Ovis aries: one gene and its partners. The protein of the gene in region 1 binds, or shares a complex with, the protein of each later gene. Links are inferred from orthologs where the notes say so. Each region holds a gene or a part of one and is shown in the gene's direction. Other genes may lie near its edges.

What was found.
Region 2: WRAP53 (region 1) and NHP2 share a complex: the UniProt entries of both Homo sapiens proteins name them as parts of the telomerase holoenzyme complex. The link is inferred for Ovis aries from reciprocal best matches to the Homo sapiens genes WRAP53 and NHP2.
Region 3: WRAP53 (region 1) and TERT share a complex: the UniProt entries of both Homo sapiens proteins name them as parts of the telomerase holoenzyme complex. The link is inferred for Ovis aries from reciprocal best matches to the Homo sapiens genes WRAP53 and TERT.
Region 4: WRAP53 (region 1) and NOP10 share a complex: the UniProt entries of both Homo sapiens proteins name them as parts of the telomerase holoenzyme complex. The link is inferred for Ovis aries from reciprocal best matches to the Homo sapiens genes WRAP53 and NOP10.

Annotation. Positions count from the first base shown.
Region 1 is NC_056064.1:27,214,414-27,219,379, forward strand, and holds part of WRAP53 (telomerase Cajal body protein 1), read left to right. Parts: intron 1-3,286; coding exon 3,287-3,375; intron 3,376-3,576; coding exon 3,577-3,667; intron 3,668-3,774; coding exon 3,775-3,907; intron 3,908-4,668; coding exon 4,669-4,877; intron 4,878-4,966. UniProt on the Homo sapiens protein: RNA chaperone that plays a key role in telomere maintenance and RNA localization to Cajal bodies. Specifically recognizes and binds the Cajal body box (CAB box) present in both small Cajal body RNAs (scaRNAs) and telomerase RNA template component (TERC).
Region 2 is NC_056058.1:36,950,107-36,955,660, reverse strand, and holds the start of NHP2 (H/ACA ribonucleoprotein complex subunit 2), read left to right. Parts: upstream 1-2,084; 5' UTR 2,085-2,132; coding exon 2,133-2,292; intron 2,293-2,370; coding exon 2,371-2,440; intron 2,441-4,919; coding exon 4,920-5,025; intron 5,026-5,554. UniProt on the Homo sapiens protein: Required for ribosome biogenesis and telomere maintenance. Part of the H/ACA small nucleolar ribonucleoprotein (H/ACA snoRNP) complex, which catalyzes pseudouridylation of rRNA.
Region 3 is NC_056069.1:71,192,732-71,197,697, forward strand, and holds part of TERT (telomerase reverse transcriptase), read left to right. Parts: intron 1-1,585; coding exon 1,586-1,781; intron 1,782-2,810; coding exon 2,811-2,991; intron 2,992-4,533; coding exon 4,534-4,713; intron 4,714-4,966. UniProt on the Homo sapiens protein: Telomerase is a ribonucleoprotein enzyme essential for the replication of chromosome termini in most eukaryotes. Active in progenitor and cancer cells. Inactive, or very low activity, in normal somatic cells.
Region 4 is NC_056060.1:26,485,895-26,490,230, forward strand, and holds NOP10 (H/ACA ribonucleoprotein complex subunit 3), read left to right. Parts: upstream 1-1,967; 5' UTR 1,968-2,017; coding exon 2,018-2,071; intron 2,072-2,644; coding exon 2,645-2,785; 3' UTR 2,786-3,028; downstream 3,029-4,336. Other genes in the region: NUTM1 (NUT family member 1), read right to left, coding at 163-301. UniProt on the Homo sapiens protein: Required for ribosome biogenesis and telomere maintenance. Part of the H/ACA small nucleolar ribonucleoprotein (H/ACA snoRNP) complex, which catalyzes pseudouridylation of rRNA.

The DNA of each region.
Region 1 (4,966 bases):
CGGTGGGGCCACGGTCACTGGGGGATGTTTGGTTTTTGTGGTATATGTGGCAGGATCTCTGGGGTGAGATAGTGCACTAAGTCGTGTCTGACTCTTGCAACCCCATGGACTGTAGCCTGCCAGGCTCCTCTGTCTATGGGATTCTCCAGGCAAGAATACTGGAGTGGGTTGCCATTTCCTTCTCCAATGATAGTTTTCTTAACTCTTCCTCTGTTTTGGACTTTTGGATTGTTTTCAGGATTTTTTATATCATGAATTATTTTTCAGTGAACATCTCCATGTGTTTTGATGGAGATTCTTCAGAGAAACAGAGAAGTTTTATAAGAAATACCCTAGGTCGGAGAGTATCAGTATTTTTTTTATGTCTTGTAATACCAATAATCAATTTGTTTTCAAAAGCTTTTTATGCTGTTTATTCTTTTTATTATTATTACTGGTGTTGGCAGTATGAGTATACCAGTTCTATCACAACCTCACTTATTAGCTATTTTCTTTTTTAAGTCTGTATTTCATTTGTGGCATTATTGTTTCTGTTTCATGTTTTGGTGTTTTGGCCTTGAGGCATGGTATTTTCATTTTTAACGTCTGAAAGTTTGGTATGGAAATGGATAACATTTATTTAGGTGGGGAAAGTGGGGGACGGTTTGGGGGTATTTTTGTGCATCTGTGTACTGCTTCTTCTCAACACAGTTTCCCAACTCCTCTCCTCCTTTTTCTACCTTTTCACAGAGCTTTCTGGAACTCCTATTTCTATGTCCCCCCCTCTTCCCTGAATACTCTGCCTACCCTGTGGCTCTTGCCTGAGGCCTTCCCTTTCCTGTACCTTCTCTAGGGGAGACTGTGCAACCTCTGTGTCCTACATATCTCGGGTTGGGGAGGGGGTGTCCTCATTCTCAAATGCTATATCCAGACAATTGCTTTTCTGCTTTGTAAAAACTGTTCCTTTGTGGCTTAGGCTGTCTGATTCTCCCTGACTTGCTGAGTACCTTGGCACCTCAGCTCTCTTCTGCATGCCATGTCTTTGTACCATCTTGGTGACCTTAGGTATCCAAACGAGAAAGCAGGGTCTCATCCTTTAATCCCCCTCTCCTAACCCCCACATCCAATTAATTACCAAATCCCATCAAGTCCGCCTGATCTTTCTAATTTATCCAGTTCACTCTGTTTTAATTCAAGGTGCTATTATTTTGGGCCTTATGTTATTGGGACAGTCTTCTGTTTCCATTTGCCCATTAAAACATTTGACTGCTGATTGTGCTGATTCCTCAGTAGGTGTTGGGGAAGCAGTGGTAAGTAAGACAGACATGATTCCTGCCTTTTGCAGAGTGGAGACACAGAAGGCATTTGGAACGTGGTTCAGGAGGAGGCTTCCCATGGGGACAAGTATCTGAGAGACCCAAAGGATGGCTAGGATTTGACCAGGAAGAGTTGTTGGGGGAAATGAGGGAAGGCTGTTCCAGACTTGGAGTCTAGTGTGTGTGAAAGCCTGCAGCCCAGGAATGCAGTGAGTTGGCATCTTCTCAGAGCTGGGAATCAGGATGGTGGAGTGTGGAGATGTTACAGGAAAGAAGGCAGGGGTGAGGGATGAGCCTGGAGAGGTGGGTGTGGGGTAGATGCCTGGTAAGGGAAGTCTTCCTAGAAGATTGGGTTTTATACTGAGGGTTATGGAGAAGCATTGCAATGCTTTGAGCAGGAGAATGATGCGGTACATGAGTCCAGGGCCTCAGTGTGGCTGAAGAATGGAAAATTGAGTGGCAGGTTAGAGTATGGGGAGGAGGGAGGCCAGGGCTGGCAAGAAGGTAGTGGCTACACGTGGAATCAGAGGTAAGGAGACATGTTCAAGTGAACCTAGGAGGTGGAATTGGCAAGCTCTGGCCTTGGATTGGACCAGGAGAGGAAAGGGCATGAAGAGAGTAGTAGTCAGGGTGCTCAGACTTCAGCCTTGAGAACCGGGTGCAGAGCCCAGGAGGAGCAGCAGATTCAGAGGCAGCAGAGGCTGGGTCTGTCCCGGCTAAACTGAGTTGAGGAGCCTGTGCGATGCCCTAATGGAACTTTCCTCCAGGCAGTCAGATGCAAGGGTTAAGAGTGGAGATGTGGACCTGCAGTCACAGCTGGGTGACATCACCCCAAGGGCCAGCAAGTAAGGGACAAAGGACTCGTATCCTGCTGATGTGAAGATTTCCTTTAAGTCAGTAAGTCGAAGACAACAACCAAGGAGAAAACTGAGCAAAAACTATGAGAAGGTGCCCTTAGAAGGAAAAGTGCCTTTACTGGTAATGAGAGATGCCAGTTTATATTGTAATGAAATACCATTTCACAGCCTTCAAATTGAGAAAAATATGGGAGTCTGGCAACAGCAAGAGGAGGCAGAGCAATGGGTGCTCCTACATGCCGCTGCGGGGAGAATAAATTGGGATGAGCACTTTTGGAAAAAAAAAGTGACACGATCTCGTAGAGTTGGCAGAGCACATACTATGGAGCCCAGTGGTTTCCCTCAGTAGCAGAAACTGCAGAGAATCCCTCCCACATGTGTACCAGATTGTTAAAGTGCACTTGCCAGAAACTGGAAAAACATCAGTGACTGTCAATAGAGAACGATGCGTGAATGGAGTGCTGTGAAGCAGGGAAAATGCGTGAATTCAAGCTAAGTTTGTCACCATAAATCTCATAATCACGATGGGACGCATGTAGCGTGGTACCATTCATATTAAGTTTAAAGGCAAGCAAGACCATGCTATATATTGTCTTTCCTCTATGAATATATTCCTAAAGAAATATACAAGAATGATAAATTAAGGATAGTGTTTCCCTCTAAAGGAGGATTTCATTGGGAAGAGGTTTTTAACTGTTTGGTAAAACATTTTGTTTCTTAAGCTGAGTGGAGGCCTCACAGGGTTTGGTTTGGCTTTGTTTTAATACTTCTTTGCTTGTTTGAACTGGTCGATAACTTTTGTAAAGGATCCAATGGCACCTGGTAGGTGGCTTGGTGGGTATTTGCATCATTGGCTGGTTCTTTGTCTCTGGGTTGGGGTATTATTTGTTTCTCTAAGTGTTGACAAAGCAAAAGGATAAATCTGTATGGCATTTAGTGGCCCAAGTCTGATGTGAAAGTCTGAGCTAGCCTTGAATTGGAAGATCAAGATCTTGTTCTTGTATTTGCCTGATGTGCCTTCCCCTGCCTGGTTAAGTGCCCACAGAGCGTCTCCCGCTGCCATAAACCTGCTCCAGGTCCGAGTGGGCCTCCTTGTCCTACCAGTGACCCAGGCATCTCCTCATCTCTGTCTAGGCCCCTGTCCTTCGAATGGTGGAAGGCGACACCATCTATGACTACTGCTGGTATTCCCTGATGTCTTCAGCTCAGCCAGACACCTCCTAGTAAGTGATGTCTTTTGCCTGCTTTCCCTCCCCACCCCCATTTTAAGGGGACCCTCTGCTGAGAGACAGCCAGGGGCTGTGGGGGTCTCAGGAGGAGGGAAGCTTGCTTTGACCTTCAGATGTGAGCTGAGAGGGCTGGTCAGTTGGCTTCCTCCCCTTCCTTTGACAGCACCGGGGCCTCGGTGTCCATGTCTCTCTCAGCGTGGCCAGCAGCAGCAGGGAGAACCCAATTCACATCTGGGACGCCTTCACCGGAGAGCTCCGGGCTTCCTTTCGCTCCTACAATCACCTGGTAGGGACTCTCTGCCTAGCCCCAGGGCTTGCCCTGGCCTAGCTCTCCTTCCTGGAGAAGGAAGAGGCTGTGCGCCAGGCCTGTTTCCAGCCCTTCCCTTCCCCCAGGATGAGCTGACAGCAGCCCACTCGCTCTGCTTCTCCCCGGATGGCTCCCAGCTCTTCTGTGGCTTTAACCGGACTGTGCGTGTCTTCTCCACATCCCGGCCCGGCCGAGACTGCGAGGTCCGAACCACGTTTGGTAAGCAGTCTACACCTCCAAGGGAGGAGAGAAAGGGGCCCAGCCAAGAGCAGAGGGGCCCTGTGGTCATGTGCGGAGGTAGGGGGTTGAGGGGTTGTTACCCTCACAGCCCTGGGAGGTTGTACCCAGTAGATAGAGGAGAAAGCAGACTCACGGAGGGCATAAAACTTTCCCAAGATCAAACTCTAGTCAAGAGTTGGTTCACTCCTGAGCCCCTCCCCTGCTGGTACTTTACCTCTTGGTTCCCAAAGTTTTAGTTTTTCCAAGAAACTGGAGAAGCTGATTCCGTTTGCCTATAAGTCTTAGCTTTCTGACCCTTCCAAGGAAAAATTGAGGGGACTTCCCTGGCAGTCCAGGGGTTAAGACTGCACTTCCACTGCAGGGGGCACAGGTTTGATCCCAGTCAGGGAACTAAGATCCTGCATGTCTTGTGGTGCAGTCAAAGGAAAATACAAAAGCAGTAATTGAATGCTTATTAGGTATTGGGGTGGGGAAACAAATAAGATGGAATTTTTTTTAAAAAAGAAAAATTGAGATTTGAGAGGGAAGAAAGTGGGGCTTGCATCTTTCGGTCCTTTAAAGGGGATAGAAGGATTTAGGGAGCATCAGAAGTTTTCATCCTGCTGAAAACGAATGGGGTGTAGGGGACACTGAATCCAGCACCTGGGCTCTGGGACAGGAGACAGAGGTACACCTCTGATTAGCCTGGTTAATGCTGGGTACTCTTGCCCTCTCCCCCACGTTGTTCCTTCCCCTTCTAGCAAAAAGGCAGGGCCAGAGTGGCATCATTTCCTGCATAGCCTTCAGCCCAACCCAGCCCCTCTACGCCTGTGGCTCCTATGGCCGCTCCCTGGGCCTGTACACCTGGGAAGATGGCTCCCCTCTTGCCTTGTTGGGAGGACACCAAGGGGGCATCACGCACCTCTGCTTTCACCCCGATGGCAATCGCTTCTTCTCCGGAGCCCGCAAGGTGGGGATCATATTCTGAGGTTCCAAAACAAGTGGGTAGAAGGCAGGAGTGGGGATGTAGTCTGCTGTGTTGGGAGATGGGCATGGGGG
Region 2 (5,554 bases), on another chromosome or scaffold:
ATATGGATTCAAAAAAGAAATTATACAAATGAACTTACAAAGCAGAAAGACAGTCACAAACTCAGAAAACGACTTATGGTTGCCAGAGGGAAGGCATAGTTAGGGATTTGGGGAAGGTCAGGTACACATTGCTATATTTACAACGGATAACCAACAAGGACCTATTGTATAGCACAAGGAACTCTGTTCAATGTTATGTGCCAGCCTGCATGGGAGGAGGGGTTTAGGGGAGAATGGATTCATGTATATGTATGGCTGAGTTCCTTCCCTGTTCACCTGAAACTACCACAACACTTTTAACCAGCTATATCCCAATACAAATAAAAAGTTTAAAGTCTGAAAACAAGAGTACTTGTTTTTTATGTAACGGCTGCACTTGGTTTCAGGGTTAAAAGTTCAGGTTTTCAGTTGGCTTAACTGTCCCCTGCCGTCAAGGCCGCCTGCAGACTTTTAAAGTACCACTTTATGGCCTGTTCCAGTGCCACGGAAATGGCCCGCCTACCACCACATAATCAAAGGCAACTGATGTATAACAATGATTCACTTCCCTGGTGGCTCAGTGGTAAAGAATCTGCCTGCCAATACAGGAGACGCCTGTTTGATCCCTGGGTTGGGAAGATTCCCTAGAGAAGGAAATGGCAATTCACTCCAGTATTCTTGCCTGGGAAATCCCATGGACAGAAAAGCCTGGTGGGCTATATCCATGGGGTCACAAAAGAGTCAGACACGACTTAGCGACTAAATAACAACAAATATTCATCCAACGTTCCAAGACAGAGTACAAGAAATAAGTCAGAGGTACAAGACCCACCCCGGTCTAGGCCTGCTGACCTCCCCAGCACTGTATGTGTGTGTTAGTCTCTCAGTCGTGTCCGCCTCTTTGCGATCTCCATGGACTGTAGCCCTCCAGGCTCCCCTGTCCATGGGAGTCTCCAGGCAAGAATATTGGAGTGGAATGGGTTGCTATTTCCTTCTTCACGGGATCTTCCCAACCCAGGGATCTAACCCGGGTCTCTCTCATTGCCTGCAGATTCTTTACCATCTGAGCCACCAGGGTAGCCCAATTAATCCTCTAGAGTTAACTGCAAAAGCGCCGCCTACTCTGCACACTTCCCCACCCTCAGCCCGTGTTCACACTTGTCTTCCCTCTCAGCGGTCTCCGTCATGCCTTCTGTGGGTGTGATGCCAGGCAGCGGCGGGAACTACGAAGAAAACAAGAGGGTTAGAGGATGCCGGCGGGAGGCAGAAAAAGAACTTTAATTTGGGGTACGTTGGTCAGGAGAATCTCTCCCGTGTTTAACAGCTGAGCAGATTTCTGCGGGAAGGGTGGTACCGAGTTCTCCGAAGAAAAGCGGTCTAGACGGAGGCGCTTAGTGAGTGAATGGTTCCATCCCTTGCCAGTAAAGAGAAAGCAGAATGTGAGAACCGTGCTAGAACGAAGAAATCGCAAGCAGTGCCAGGCTTTACCTTAACCTTGGCACCTAGGGTACAGCACCCAGGACCAACTCAGGACCTGGCACGAGATGGGGATCGGAACTGCCCAAGTGAGGGATCAGATTCTGAGGTTTGGAATCACACCGAAGACTTCCCATTCCACTACTCTGGTCGCAGACCCCGCCCTTTAGGCAGGGCTCCAGTCCGCTTAGATGCGGTCACGCCCCTACAGGTACAGCTTCCTCCTTGCTCCGCCTACACCTGTGACGCTAAACTCTCACACAAACCCAAGCCCGGATCCTAGTCCCTCTTCGCCTCCTCCAGGGCCCGCCTCCTTCCGGCCTTCGCCCCTCGCCTCAGAGGCCCTCCGTTGTTGTTGTTTAGTCGCGAAGTTGTGTGCTGTTCTTTGCGACTCAATGGACTGTAGCACGCCTTTCCTCTGCCTTTCACTATCTTGCCGAGTTAGCCCAAATTCACAGCTTGCTTGCCGACTGGTGCCCTAAATCGCTTCCGCCCCGCCTGCATTGTGGGAGTGGCCCCGCCCCTACGGCCAAGACTCCACCTCTCGGCGCTCCCTGTTTCCTAATTGGCTATGTCGCACTGCCTCTTCACGCAGAGTAGCATGACCCGGAAGTGATTTCTGAAGTGCCGGCCACGTGGACTTGTGCCTTGAGTGCTAGGTTGCCACAGTCGCTGCCATGACCAAAATAAAGGCAGATCCGGACGGGCCGGAGGCTCAGGCGGACGCGTGCTGCGGGGAGCGCACTTACCATGAACTGCTGGTGAATCTGAACCCCATCGCGCAGCCTCTGGCTTCTCGCCGCCTCACGCGGAAGCTCTACAAATGCATTAAGAAAGGTGCGGTGGACGCCGAGCCGGGGCGGCACGCGGGTGGCAGGCCGAGGCCCCCTCCGACTGATTGTTCTGTCGTTGCAGCCGTGAAGCAGAAGCAGATTCGGCGCGGGGTGAAAGAGGTTCAGAAATTTATCAACAAAGGCGAGAAAGGGTAAGAATCCCCCCTACCCTCCGCCGGATTTCGAGGATGGTATCCTGCTGCTTAACAGGTAGTTGGTAAAAGTGCTCCGACTTGGGTCGTATGCAGAAGATACATTCCCTTCCGTACAGATGTCGATACCACTTACAAGAGCTCAAAGGGACACCTTGGGGAAGGTGAATTCCAGGGGAACCAAATCGTATAAGCCAACTTCCTTAGGATTGATCCCAGCTTCATTCACTTAGCGACGATTTACCGAGTGTCTACTGTTTTTCAGGCACTGTGCTATGGGGAGACAATGGCAGTAATCAAATACACACAAAAGTACAAGTTGTCATGGGTAAGCATGAAGGAGAAGTACAGGGTGCAGCGAGAATGACTTCATTATCCTACAGCTTTCCTTTTTGGCATTTTTCAGGATCTGAAAACTATTTGCATTTTTGTTCCCTGTCTCTCTCACTCAGGCCAGAAAGTAAGCTTTTTGAGAACAGAATAAAGCCTCTCACTGCTTTATTTTCAGAAGCGCCTGGTACGTTGTAGGTGCTCAGGAGCCAAATAATGCTGGGAGGATTTGGTGCTCTATGGAGTCTGACCTAGGTGGGGTAGCTGAGGTCTGAAGATATAGGATTCGTTTGTGGCTTCCAGGTTTGGGGGGCATTCTGCCAGAAGAAAGTAGATTCCAGGGCAGGAGAGGGTGGTAGTGGATAGAAGTGCTACCTTCTCATGGGACTCTAATAAGCCATTGTAAGTTTAGTTTTTGTACTCAGGAGTTTTGGAAGCCAATGAGTGTTAAAGTGAGGGATGACATAATTATGTTTACATCTTTAGAAGGTTTTTCTGGCAACTTTGGAAAAGATCAGAGGTGGAAAAATAGATGGAGAAATTGAGATAGGTGGCTACTCAGGTGCAGAAGAGATGAGAGCAATTTTGATTGGGTTATTGATGGCAGAGATGGATAGAATTAACGTGGATGGATGAGAGGACTTTTGCATACAGAGTGAGGAGGTGTGGGCTCCAGGCAGATGGACAGAGGGCCGGTTCACTGAGACAGTGAACAGTGAGGGAGCCAGATTTGTATGAGATCACAAGTCTGGTTTTAGACAAGTTTTCAAGATGCCTTTTAAACATGGAAACCCTCTCCCTAGCAGAACTATCAGATAGGCAGGTGGCTATATGGGTGTTCAGTTTGGGATAGGGTTGGGTTGGAGAGAATAGATTTGGGAGTTGTCAATATACAGTTGGCACTTGAAGCCTTGGTTACAGATGGGGTCAGCTGAGAGAACGTACTGACAGAGCAGAAAGACCAGGCTGTGGGAATACCAGCATTGAAAGGCTTCTCTGGAATTTCTGGGCAGTCCAGCGGTTAGGACTCCATGCTTCCACTGCAAGCGGGCCAGGGTTCCATCCTTGGTTGGGGAACTAACATCCCACAAGCTGCACAGCACGGCCAAAAACAACAAAGGCTACTCAAAGGAAGTGGAGCCTGCAGAGGAGGAGAGTCTATGAGCCAAAGGAAAGCTAGGGAGTGTGGACATACTGCTTTGAACCCAAGAGCTCTTTCCTTGCGGTTTCCTCTCCCCTAGAACAGACTCTTCTGCTGTCATCAGGGCTCCTGAGGCCCTTGTCGCAGAACCCCATCACCTGGCCAGCTAGAATAGTTACAGATTCTCTGGCAAGCTTTCCTTGGTTCCCTATCACTCTTAGGAATGAGCCTTGAAGCACTCAAGACCCTTACATGTGACTAGTTTTTCTAGCCTTCTTGTCAGCCTTATCTCCACATCCTGGATTCCAAAGCCATCCCTGGCTCCCAACAACAGCCATCCCCTGTGTATCTGGTATCTTTCTGATTCTCTCAACCTTAAATGCTTTCCCTGCCCCCAGCCCCTCTATGGGCTTCCCTGGTAGTTCAGTGGTAAAGAATCTGCCTGCCAAGGCAGGAGATGCAGGTTCAATCCCTGATCTGGGAAGATCCCCTGGAGAAGGAAATGGCACCCCACTCCAGTATTCTTGCCTGGAAAAACCCCATGGACAGAGGAGCCTGGCGGGCTATAGTCCATGGGGTCACAAAGAATAGGACATGACTTAGTGACTGGCAGCAACAAAGCCCCTCCATGGGCTGCCTGACAGATGTCCATCATTCAGCTTTCCTCTAAAGTGTTTTTCCTGATTCCTTTCTTGATTGTCCAAGGAAAGCTGAGCTCTTACTCCTTAGCATCTCTCATACTTCATCTGTCCCGGTACAGTACCTTTTGTCACACTTGGTGGCATTTACTTGTTGCCAGGCAACAGAGATCACCTCCCCAGAGGAATGCACTCACCAAACAAATCTGAATGCATTTCTTGAGTTTGGGAGACATATATGATGGGGCTCCTTGAGGGCAGGGGCCTGTTTACCCATCTCTGTAACCCCCAAGGTTCAGCTCAGAGGCTTCCCTTATGACTGAAAAGGGAACCAGCAAGCTGGGAGTGACAGTGATTTCTCTTATTTCAGGATTATGGTTTTGGCAGGAGACACATTACCCATTGAGGTATACTGCCATCTCCCAGTTATGTGTGAAGACCGGAATTTACCGTATGTCTATATCCCCTCTAAGACGGTAAGGAGCCCTGATCTTGGTCAGCACAGAAGAGGGCCTGGGATCAGGTTGGTGGCAGCAGGTCATAGTGGCAAACAGCATGAGCTCTGGAGCTAAAGACAGGCCTGGATGGATTCTTGGCTCTGCTGCTTCCCAGATGAGGGAATGCAGATAAGTCACCTCTCTGTACTTCTACTTCCCTGTAAAATGGGACTGTGGGAATGAAACAGAAGGTGAACTTGAACGTGTCAGTCCTGTTAGTGGGTGCAATGTTCAGAAGGGATGTTCTAGGGACCTGCAGCTGTCCTTATCCTTACATAGCAGAGGCCAGGTCTGGGCTCCAAGGGGTGGGGAATAGCAGGGCCCTGGAAAGCATAGGCCCTGCTTAAGGGGACAGCCCCTACTGAGCTGGAGCTCTTTCACAATTGCCCTATGGAACTGTAGGCCCAGTGTCGCTGGACCACAGCTTGAAAGTCTGATGAGTTTAGATGGTGGCAACCAATTCAAAATGTTAACATTGGCTGACTAGCACATGTCTGTGGGCTGCATT
Region 3 (4,966 bases), on another chromosome or scaffold:
GGCACAGAGGGGAGAGCCGGCTGCCGGCCGGGTCCCAGGACAGCGGGCAGCTGCTGGGGAGCAATGGGACCTTCCGTGAAGCTGGGCCTTTGGGGCCCCTCCCTGTGTGGTGGTCTGGGTGTGATGTGGGGCTCCTCCCATGCAGCCACCGCCCAGCACGTGTGCGGGCAGAGCCAGGAGCAGCAGGACCAGCCCCTTCCGAGCGCTCCCCGGTCTGACCCCTGAAGTCCTGAGAGCTTGACACCCAGAGCTGGAGCCAGGCTTGGCCCCCTCGTTGACTCATGAGTCAGCTTTGCTCTTGAGTGTCTGCTGCTGCTGCTGCTAAGTCACTTCCGACGTGTCCGACTCTGTGCAGCCCCAGAGACGGCAGCCCACCAGGCTCCCGCGTCCCTGGGATTCTCCAGGCAGGAACGCTGGAGTGGGTTGCCACCACGAGTGTCTAGCGACTCTCTTTACCTTAAAGTCTGTCTCCCTGCCTCCCCACTCGCCAGTGTTTACTGCTCATGCTGTTTGCCCTTATCTGGGTTTTACCTTCAGCCTCTCCTGTCCCGTGAGCACGCGTAGTGTAGGTGCCGTATCGCGGCCCTGAGCCAACCTTCTGCGCGTCTGTCCGATCCCGTCTGACCGTCTGTGTGGCTCCCCTGGCCTTACACTTCTCTGTGCTGACCCGGTCTGGGCGCGTCTTTCTCATCCTCCCAATTTGCCACTCTTCCTGCGTTCTTATTCCGTTTCCCGGTGTGCACTTTTTCACGTGTGTGTGTGGGTGTCTCGTCTAGAGCTAGCTGTGTGCTCTCCGTCGCCCTCGGGGTGGCTTCCTTCCAGCCGTAGCCTCGCGTGTTGGGATCGGATCGCAGCTGAACTGTCTCCGGCTCAGCCAGCCCTGCTCTCACTGGCCCCTCGCAGTCCGTGTGGGCGTGGCTTCACCCCCTCCTCTTTCCTTCGCTGGCTACTCACCGTCCTGCCCCAGGCCGCCTCCAGGCCCCCTTCCTTGTCCTCTGACCCGGTTTCTGCCGGTGAGGCCCTGGCTCTGTCAGCGCTGAGGCCCCTGTGGCACAGCGTAAACCACAGAGGCCCGCGGGGCGTGTGTCCGGAGCCGGCAGCGTTGGGCATTCCTCAGCACTCGGGGCCGCCTCTACGTGCCCCTCGTGTTCAGCCTGCAACCCCCCGGGCATTTCCAGCCCCTGCGGCCCAGTGGTGATGCCTGAAACTGCAGCGCAGCCCCCCTGATCCCCCCCCACCCCGGGGACAGCAGCCCCGGCTCCCCTAGTCTGTGTGCGCAGTGACAAGTGCTGGGGCTCTGGGTCCACGCTGTCCGGCAGGAGCATACGTGAGCGCCATGACTCATTCAGCATTTTCCAGTAGCCGCAAGAGGAAAAAGAAAGGGGAACCTCATTTAAAAACATTTTCTATCAAAGTGCAGCGATCTGGTAGCATCACTTTAGCCCGTGATCTGGGGAGGCTCCTTGCCTAGTTACCCGCCTTCTCTGCCCCCTGCTCCTAGTCGCTGTGGACTCGGAGGCCGTGGGCAACCATCCCGGCCTGCGGGGGCAGCGTGGAGGGCGAGCACCGGCTTCTCTCCTCCCAGGGGCTTGCCGCGTGCCTGCCGCAGAGCACCGCCGGCGGGAGGCCGTCCTGGGCCGCTTCCTGCGCTGGCTGATGGGCGCCTACGTGGTGGAGCTGCTCAGGGGCTTCTTCTACGTCACGGAGACCACGTTCCAGAAGAACCGGCTCTTCTTCTTCCGGAAGCGCGTCTGGAGCCAGCTGCAGCGCCTGGGCGTCAGGTACGCGGGGGGACACCCGCGCCTGCACGCACGGACCCGCCTGTCTGCGCCGGCCGCCGGGGGCACTGGGGGCACCGTGAAGCAGGCTCCCCAGGGGCTGAGTGCCCGCGCGGCAGCCATGAGCTCTGTCCCCTCCTGCCGTCTGTGTCCTCTGTGAAGGCCTGGGTGGCTGTCAGTGGACAGGGACCCAGCCGGGACGGGTTGGGGAGCCACCTGAGATAAGAGCTGGGCCTTTCCAGGCGTTCTGCGAGAGATCTTGGCTGAGCGTCTGAGCGAGGGAGGTGCTCTGGGTCGGGGCGGAGCCGAGGTCCCCGAGTCAGGAGCTAAGTGGGGGTCCCCAAGCACGTGGGCCGGGGTCCCTGAGTACATGGGCTTGGGTCCCTGAGTCAGGAGTGGATCGGGGTCCCTGAGCACGTGGGCCGGGGCCCGTGTCCTCTGGCATCTGGGGAGCCTCTTGAGGCCCTTACCGTGGGTCTGAATGAAGGCACCCGATTCAAGCGTTTCCTGACATGTAAACTGAAGTGGGCAGCCCAGCTCTTCTTGTGGGGCCCCTGTGGCCTGTCCCCCGCCTGGTGGACGCTCGAGTCCCGCCACGGGCTTCCTTCGGGGCCACCAGCCCAGGGAGCATACTCCCTGCAACGGCCAAGAGGTGGGAGGACCTCTGCCCATCCCTGTGGATGGTTTTGGGGTGAAGGCTGAAGCTTACAGATGACAAGGAACCGGCTGGTCCGTGGGGAGACGATTCTGCTCCTCCCAGGGGTTCCACCAAGCACCCCCTGCCTGTTCCAGGAGGAGAACGTGGGGTCCCTGCCCACCAGCCTCCTTCAGACCCCAGAAGTACCTGATGGCCAAGCTGCCCACACCCACTCCAGACCCCAGGGTCTCCCCAGCGAGCCATCCTGTCCAGTTCTGGTCTGAGCTCTGTCCACCAGGAACCGGGCATGCCGGCCATGAGCTTTGCCCACTGCACGGGCACGGGCACCCACCAGGCTGACCTGCCCTGGCTGCCTGCGGGCACCTCTGTTTCAGACAACACCTGGAGCGTGTGCGGCTTCGAGAGCTGTCAGAAGCAGAGGTCAGGCAGCACCAGGAGGCCAGGCCGGCCCTGCTGACGTCCAGGCTCCGTTTCGTCCCCAAGCCCGGCGGGCTGCGGCCCATCGTGAACGTGGGCTGTGTCGAGGGCGCCCCAGCGCCGCCCAGAGACAAGAAGGTCGCTGCTCACGTTGTTCTGGGCCAAGCGCGTTGAAACCCAGGCCCAGTGGCTGTGCCCAAAGTCCCGGGGTGTCTGGGGGCTGCGGTGAGGTCCTGAGGAGCCAGGGGGCATGGCCAGAGGACTCCTAGGTCCAGAGAAGGAGCTCCCAGTGAGGCCTGTCCTGCAGGGTGCCAGCCGGGCTCCGAGACCCCTCTGTGCCCCCGTCTCCTGGAATCCCCCAGGGGGCCATTGTGCTCTCGGGATGCCGGGCAGAGGGGTATGTGACGTCTGTTACCAGCCTGCTGGGGTCCCCAGGAACTCACCCCTGTGCTTGGCCCCTGTGACTGTCCCCCAACACCGCCCCCCCCGCCATCCCTGCGTCACCAGCAGCTCCTGCCCCTTCCAGAGCCCCCTGGAGTGATTGGGGTGATTCTACCATTAGTGACAAAGAGAAGCCGTCACTGTTGGTGGGGGCTTGTCCATGAGCAGTGACGCATGGCTCACCCGCTGTGGGGGTGTCCCCCAAGAGGCAGCGTCCCTTTTGCTGGGTGGGGGGACCAGGCGAGGGGAGGGACCCAGGGTTTGGCTGCTTGCCTTTTCCACAAGTGGTGTCCGTGATCCGAGGATGGGTCCCTGGGGAGACCCGGGGTCTGAAGTGGGTGTGGACAGCTTGGCCATATGGTCTTTCTGGGGTCTGAGGGGGGCTGGTGGGCAGGGGGCAGCAGAGAGCAGGGACCTGTCCCTTGTCCCTGGGGGCTGTCTGACCCCGAGTCCCCTTGGGGATGGCCCCCGGGGGCTGTCTGACCCTTGGTGTCCCCTTGGGGACGGCCCTGGGGGCTGTCTGACCCTTGGTGTCCCCTTGGGGACGGCCCTGGGGGCTGTCTGACCCTTGGTGTCCCCTTGGGGACGGCCCCTGGGGCTGTTTGACCCTTGGTGTCCCCTTGGGGACGGCCCCTGGGGCTGTTTGACCCTTGGTGTCCCCTTGGGGACGGCCCCTGGGGCTGTCTGACCCTTGGTGTCCCCTTGGGGACGGCCCCTGGGGCTGTCTGACCCTTGGTGTCCCCTTGGGGACGGCCCCTGGGGCTGTCTGACCCTTGGTGTCCCCTTGGGGACGGCCCCTGGGGCTGTCTGACCCTTGGTGTCCCCTTGGGGACGGTCCCTGGGGCTGTTTGACCCTTGGTGTTCCCTTGGGGACGGCCCTGGGGGCTGTCTGACCCTTGGTGTCCCCTTGGGGACGGCCCCTGGGGCTGTCTGACCCTTGGTGTCCCCTTGGGGATGACCCCTGGGGCTGTCTGACCCCGAGTCCCCTTGGGGACGGCCCCCGGGGGCTGTCTGACCCTTGGTGTCCCCTTGGGGACGGCCCCCGGGGGCTGTCTGACCCTTGGTGTCCCCTTGGGGACGGTCCCTGGGGCTGTCCGACCCCGAGTCCCCTTGGGGACGGTGCCTGGGGGCTGTCTGACCCTTGGTGTCCCCTTGGGGATGACCCCTGGGGCTGTCTGACCCCGAGTCCCCTTGGCCATAGTTGCTCTGGCGACACTCCCGTCTGGGCTGGGCCCGCAGGTGCAGCATCTCAGCTCGCGGGTCAAGACGCTGTTCGCGGTGCTGAACTACGAGCGAGCTCGGCGTCCCGGCCTCCTGGGGGCCTCGGTGCTGGGCATGGACGACATCCACAGGGCCTGGAGGGCCTTCGTGCTGCCCCTGAGGGCCCGGGGCCCAGCCCCTCCGCTCTACTTCGTCAAGGTGGGCGCCCATCCCCACCCCTGTGGAGAGAGCCAGGGCTGCAGGTGACCCTGTGGGTCTGGTCCAGCTGATGTGGGAAGTGACCGCCTCCTACAGCCCCGTGTGTGCCAGGATGGGTCACCCCTGGTGGGGTCACGTCCATGTTAAACGTGACTCTCAGCTTCTGTGAGCTGCAAGACAGGGGCCCAGCTCCCGGGGCAGAGGCTCTGTGCCTCTGGAGTACTCTGGGAGTGCACCCCACTTCCCCGGGGCT
Region 4 (4,336 bases), on another chromosome or scaffold:
ACAGCACCATCTCCTCCCCCAGTGTGATGCCTCTGGTGGTGTCTGGTGTTCTCACATCCCTCTAGGTCAGCCCTGAGAGCTCGTCCCCAGGTAAAGTGTCAAGTTTTGAATCGCTAAAGAGGGAGCTGGTGGCAGAGGACCCTCCCCTACCGGCAGGCTCACCTCCATCTGAAGACATCGTCTCAGGTTTGGGCACTAACTGTGGCTGTCTGGAAGCCTCCAGAATGAGACAGGCAGGTCCAGGACCCAGAGAGTAAACTCCAGTCGAAACACAGGGATCCAAGGAAGGGAGGGTAAACATCAGATCAAAACAGAACTAGAATCTAGAACTCAAGGCATCATTCTACAGTGGGGGGAAGGGAGGGGGAAATGGGAAGTTAGGGAGATATTCCACAAAGGACTCTGGTATGTAGGCAGTAACCAGGAATGCCCTCCAAACCAGAGTATGGCGACACAATTGTGTATCTCTTCAGGACAACTTGCCAATTATTTCTCAGATTCCCAACCACGTAGTTTCACATCTTGGTTCCCTATACACTTCTTCACCAATATATCTAGTTTTGTGCCTTTCAATTCTACCCAGTTTTGTACCTGACTTCCTATTAACAGCAGACTGTGGCAAACTCTTGACAATTCAATGTTTGCTGTATTTTCTAAACCAAAATCAAAGCACATAGTCTATATATTTACGGATCAAGTGAACAGAATGTTTCAAATTAGGGTTGTCTCACAATATCAAGGGTGCTGATTTGCTGTATGTATATCATTTCCTTAGAAAGCTGTTTTGCAGTTCCCAAATAGACTATTACCATCACCTCTGCAGTCCACAAACAGCTCAGCCATACCCTGGGCTGAAAAGCTTCCCACTTAATCAAAAACTGCCACTCAGAGTAAAATTCCAAGACCCAAAAGTCTTTTTTGTTTGTTTGTTAAATTATTTTTGTGGTTTTAAATTTTGTTAAATAATTTTAATTTTTAAAATGGGTAGTACATCAGGACTGTTCAAAAGTCAGACTATTTAAAATGGAGTACACAGCAAGTCCACCCCCCGTCCTACTCCTTCTGGAACCAAGTTGAGCTCTTTATGCCGGAGGAAATCAGATTTATTCTGGATCCTCACTGAGATATTTTATACAACTACAAGCAAACACAAACTATACTTAAAAAAAAAAAAACCAACTTTAAGGTTTTTCTGGTTATAAAGCTGCATATATCTTCCAACGTTTTTCGCCATTATAAATCATACCGCAATGGTCACCTCGGTTAATGATATCTGGGTTCCAATTTTCATTTCTTTAAACCAGAATCCTATAAAGAGAATTTGTACGTTCTTTTAAAAATTCGCCATACCTCTAAGAGGCGCATCTTATCACGCTATTATTAGCTACTCACCACTACAGAGAGTTGAATTTGTGGCAGAGACCTGAGTTTGAATCTTGGGTCGACCACTAAAATATGCTTCACCGGTTTCGTAAAATAACTTCACGCTCTTTTCGCTGTGCAGAATATGGAATACCCATCGTGCATTTTTACCGCCAATGTTTGAAACAGGGCGAGAGAACCGGATGTAAAATAGGGGAAGGAAGAAAATCTTCTTTCTTTCCTAAGGTAAAGGAGGCTCTGGATCCTGGAGCCTTTAGTTCTGCAGGTACTAGAAACTCATTGCCTCTGAAATGGGTGTGCATCTTGAAATAAAAACAGGATAGTATTCAGTTATGTTTAATCTATATCCATCCCTACTCCCCTCTCTCCCTAGCAGTACCAGGCCCACAGTGGGCACACTGCACGTGTCGTACAACTCCTACAAGATTGCAACTGGGTTGCAACTGGTCACGTTCTGAGCTAGTGCGCCTCCTTCTGTCCGGCTGGAGAAAAGTCTAGATAAACTGGACTACAATTCCCGGCGTGCTTTCAGAGCGAGACTTCCGGCTGTACAGGAAGGAAATTGACCAACACGTGAGGCCTTCAGTTAGAGGCAGCTGCGGACAGAATTGGAACGTCCTGCTTTAGTGTGATCATGTTTCTCCAGTATTACCTCAACGAGCAAGGAGAGCGAGTCTACACGCTGAAGGTGAGAAGGGTAAACGGGCTGGATGTCAGCTTAGCGATGCATGTCATTGGAAGGAGCGGTCGGGAGAAGACAGTGAGTTGCCTAGCTGCTTGGGCGGGGGCGGGGGAGGGGGCGGGACTAGAAACTCCAGAAGCCGCGCGTGGTATTAATTAATGGAAGCAGAAATGCGTGGCTTCTAGATCTTACCGTCGCGTCTCCTGTTTTCATGTTTGCCGTTTTTGCGCGGCCCCTGATGTTGAAGCTCAAACTCCAATGCGTTGGCCACCTGATGCGAAGAGCTGACTCATTTGAAAAGAGCCTGATGCTGGGAAAGATTGAGGGCGGGAGGAGAAGGGGAAGACAGGATGAGATGGTTCATCACCGACTCCATGGACATGGGTTTGGGTAAACTCCGGCAGTTGGTGATGGACAGGGAGGCCTGGCGTACTGCGGTTCATGGGGTCGCAAAAAGTCGGACACGACTGAGCGACTGAACTGAACTCCCCATCCCAGCCTCCATCTCCCTTTTGAGGCCAGGGATTGCGTTTTCCCACCATTCCAGTGCTGAGATTATGTTCTTTCCTCCTCGAGCAGAAGCTTGATCCTATGGGACAACAGACGTGCTCGGCCCACCCTGCTCGATTCTCCCCAGACGACAAATACTCTCGACACCGAATCACCATCAAGAAACGCTTCAAGGTGCTCATGACCCAGCAGCCGCGCCCCGTCCTCTGAGGATGTCTTAACATTTCATGTGTCTTCTGCTGCCTGCCAGCACCCAAGAGACTTTCTGCAGCCAGGCTCTTCAGTCTGTGAGCCTGGAAGCTTGCTCCGACCCTTGCCCCTCGAGTCCGGTCTCATCTTTGCCTTCGATCATGCTTGTTGTGAAGCAGTCATGGTAGCATCCCCGTCCAAGGGAGATATCTGAATATTTTCGTACTTTGAATCACTGCCAGGTTATTAAAATGATTTCAAAGAGCTGTTATTTTGTATGTTGTGGGAAGAAAGGAGTGGTTTAAAAAAAAAAAAAAAAACGAGGGAAACGAGAGGGAAGAGTACCCCAGGGATACAAGACCACTTGGAAGAGAAACTTAGGCGACTGCTGTAGCAGTCGTGCTGTGCTGTGAGTCATAGCAGGGTGCTAGGGTAGGGGAAGAAAGCTTGAGAAAGACTTGTGCAACTGTTAGCATTAAGTAAGAAATACCCATGTTGTCAGTTAAGTAATTTTTTGTCCCTTGAAATGAAATTTCACTCAAAATGGAAGAGTTGCTTGAAAAATAATAGCAGCTATATGGGAGGAGGAAGATGTTGAATTGGAAGCCAGAAAATGAGTATTCACCCCTCTATAACTCTGAGAAAGTCAACCTGTTTAGTTCCGTTTTTCTCATCATTCCTAAGTACTCTTCCACCTCTAAAATTGATAGAGTTCAGTGATAGATCTTAATTCATCCAACCATTGTGAATAGGAATGTCTTTATGCATTTTTACTGCTCCTCTGGAAATATCTTGGAGGGTTTTCTTTTAATCCTGGAAGATTTCTTAGGCCATGAGCTTCTATCATGGGGCAACCATAAATTTGTAATCCAATTTCTTCATAGCATAGGGATGATGAGGCAAAATACAGGCATTCAAGAAATGATTGCTCCTTCCTCTCCTTAAGTCAGTTGGGTACTTCCTGAACTTCTTATTTGTGGCTTTTGACATTGAATTGAATGTTTGCCTAGTGCCACTGTAACGTACATCAGCCCAAATTTGATTTATCAAGACTGGCCCTGGAAAGGGGTAAATATGTTTCTCACTGATGCTGATGTCTGACTGTCCCAGCAGAAAAGAATAGTTGACTGTTGAGAGAAAAAAGAAAAATCTAAAGACTTGGGTCATACGTAGTTAATAAAAGACATGATTTCCAGTTCTATTACTTATGAGAATGGTGAGATGGGATACTTATTTTCTGTCAAGCAATTTTTGGTTTCTTAGCCTCTTCACTTATGGCTCTTAGTATTAAAGAGATTGTAAAAGCTTGTCCTGTCCTATTAGAGGTTAATGTTTGAAGAAAGGCTAGAAATTCTGCAAATGACTAGGGAAAAAGGTTCTGCTAAGGAAGTATTTAAAGAACTAACTTCAGGGGAATTCTTGGTGGTTAGGACTCCCAGCTTCCGCTGTCCCTGGGGTGGCAAGCTGCTGCATGGGGTGGCTAAAAAAATAAGCAAATCCTATCTTTTTGTTTTTAATGCAGACTGTGACTCTGTCTTTAAAAGCTACACTGACCCCCCAAAAAAGGATTAG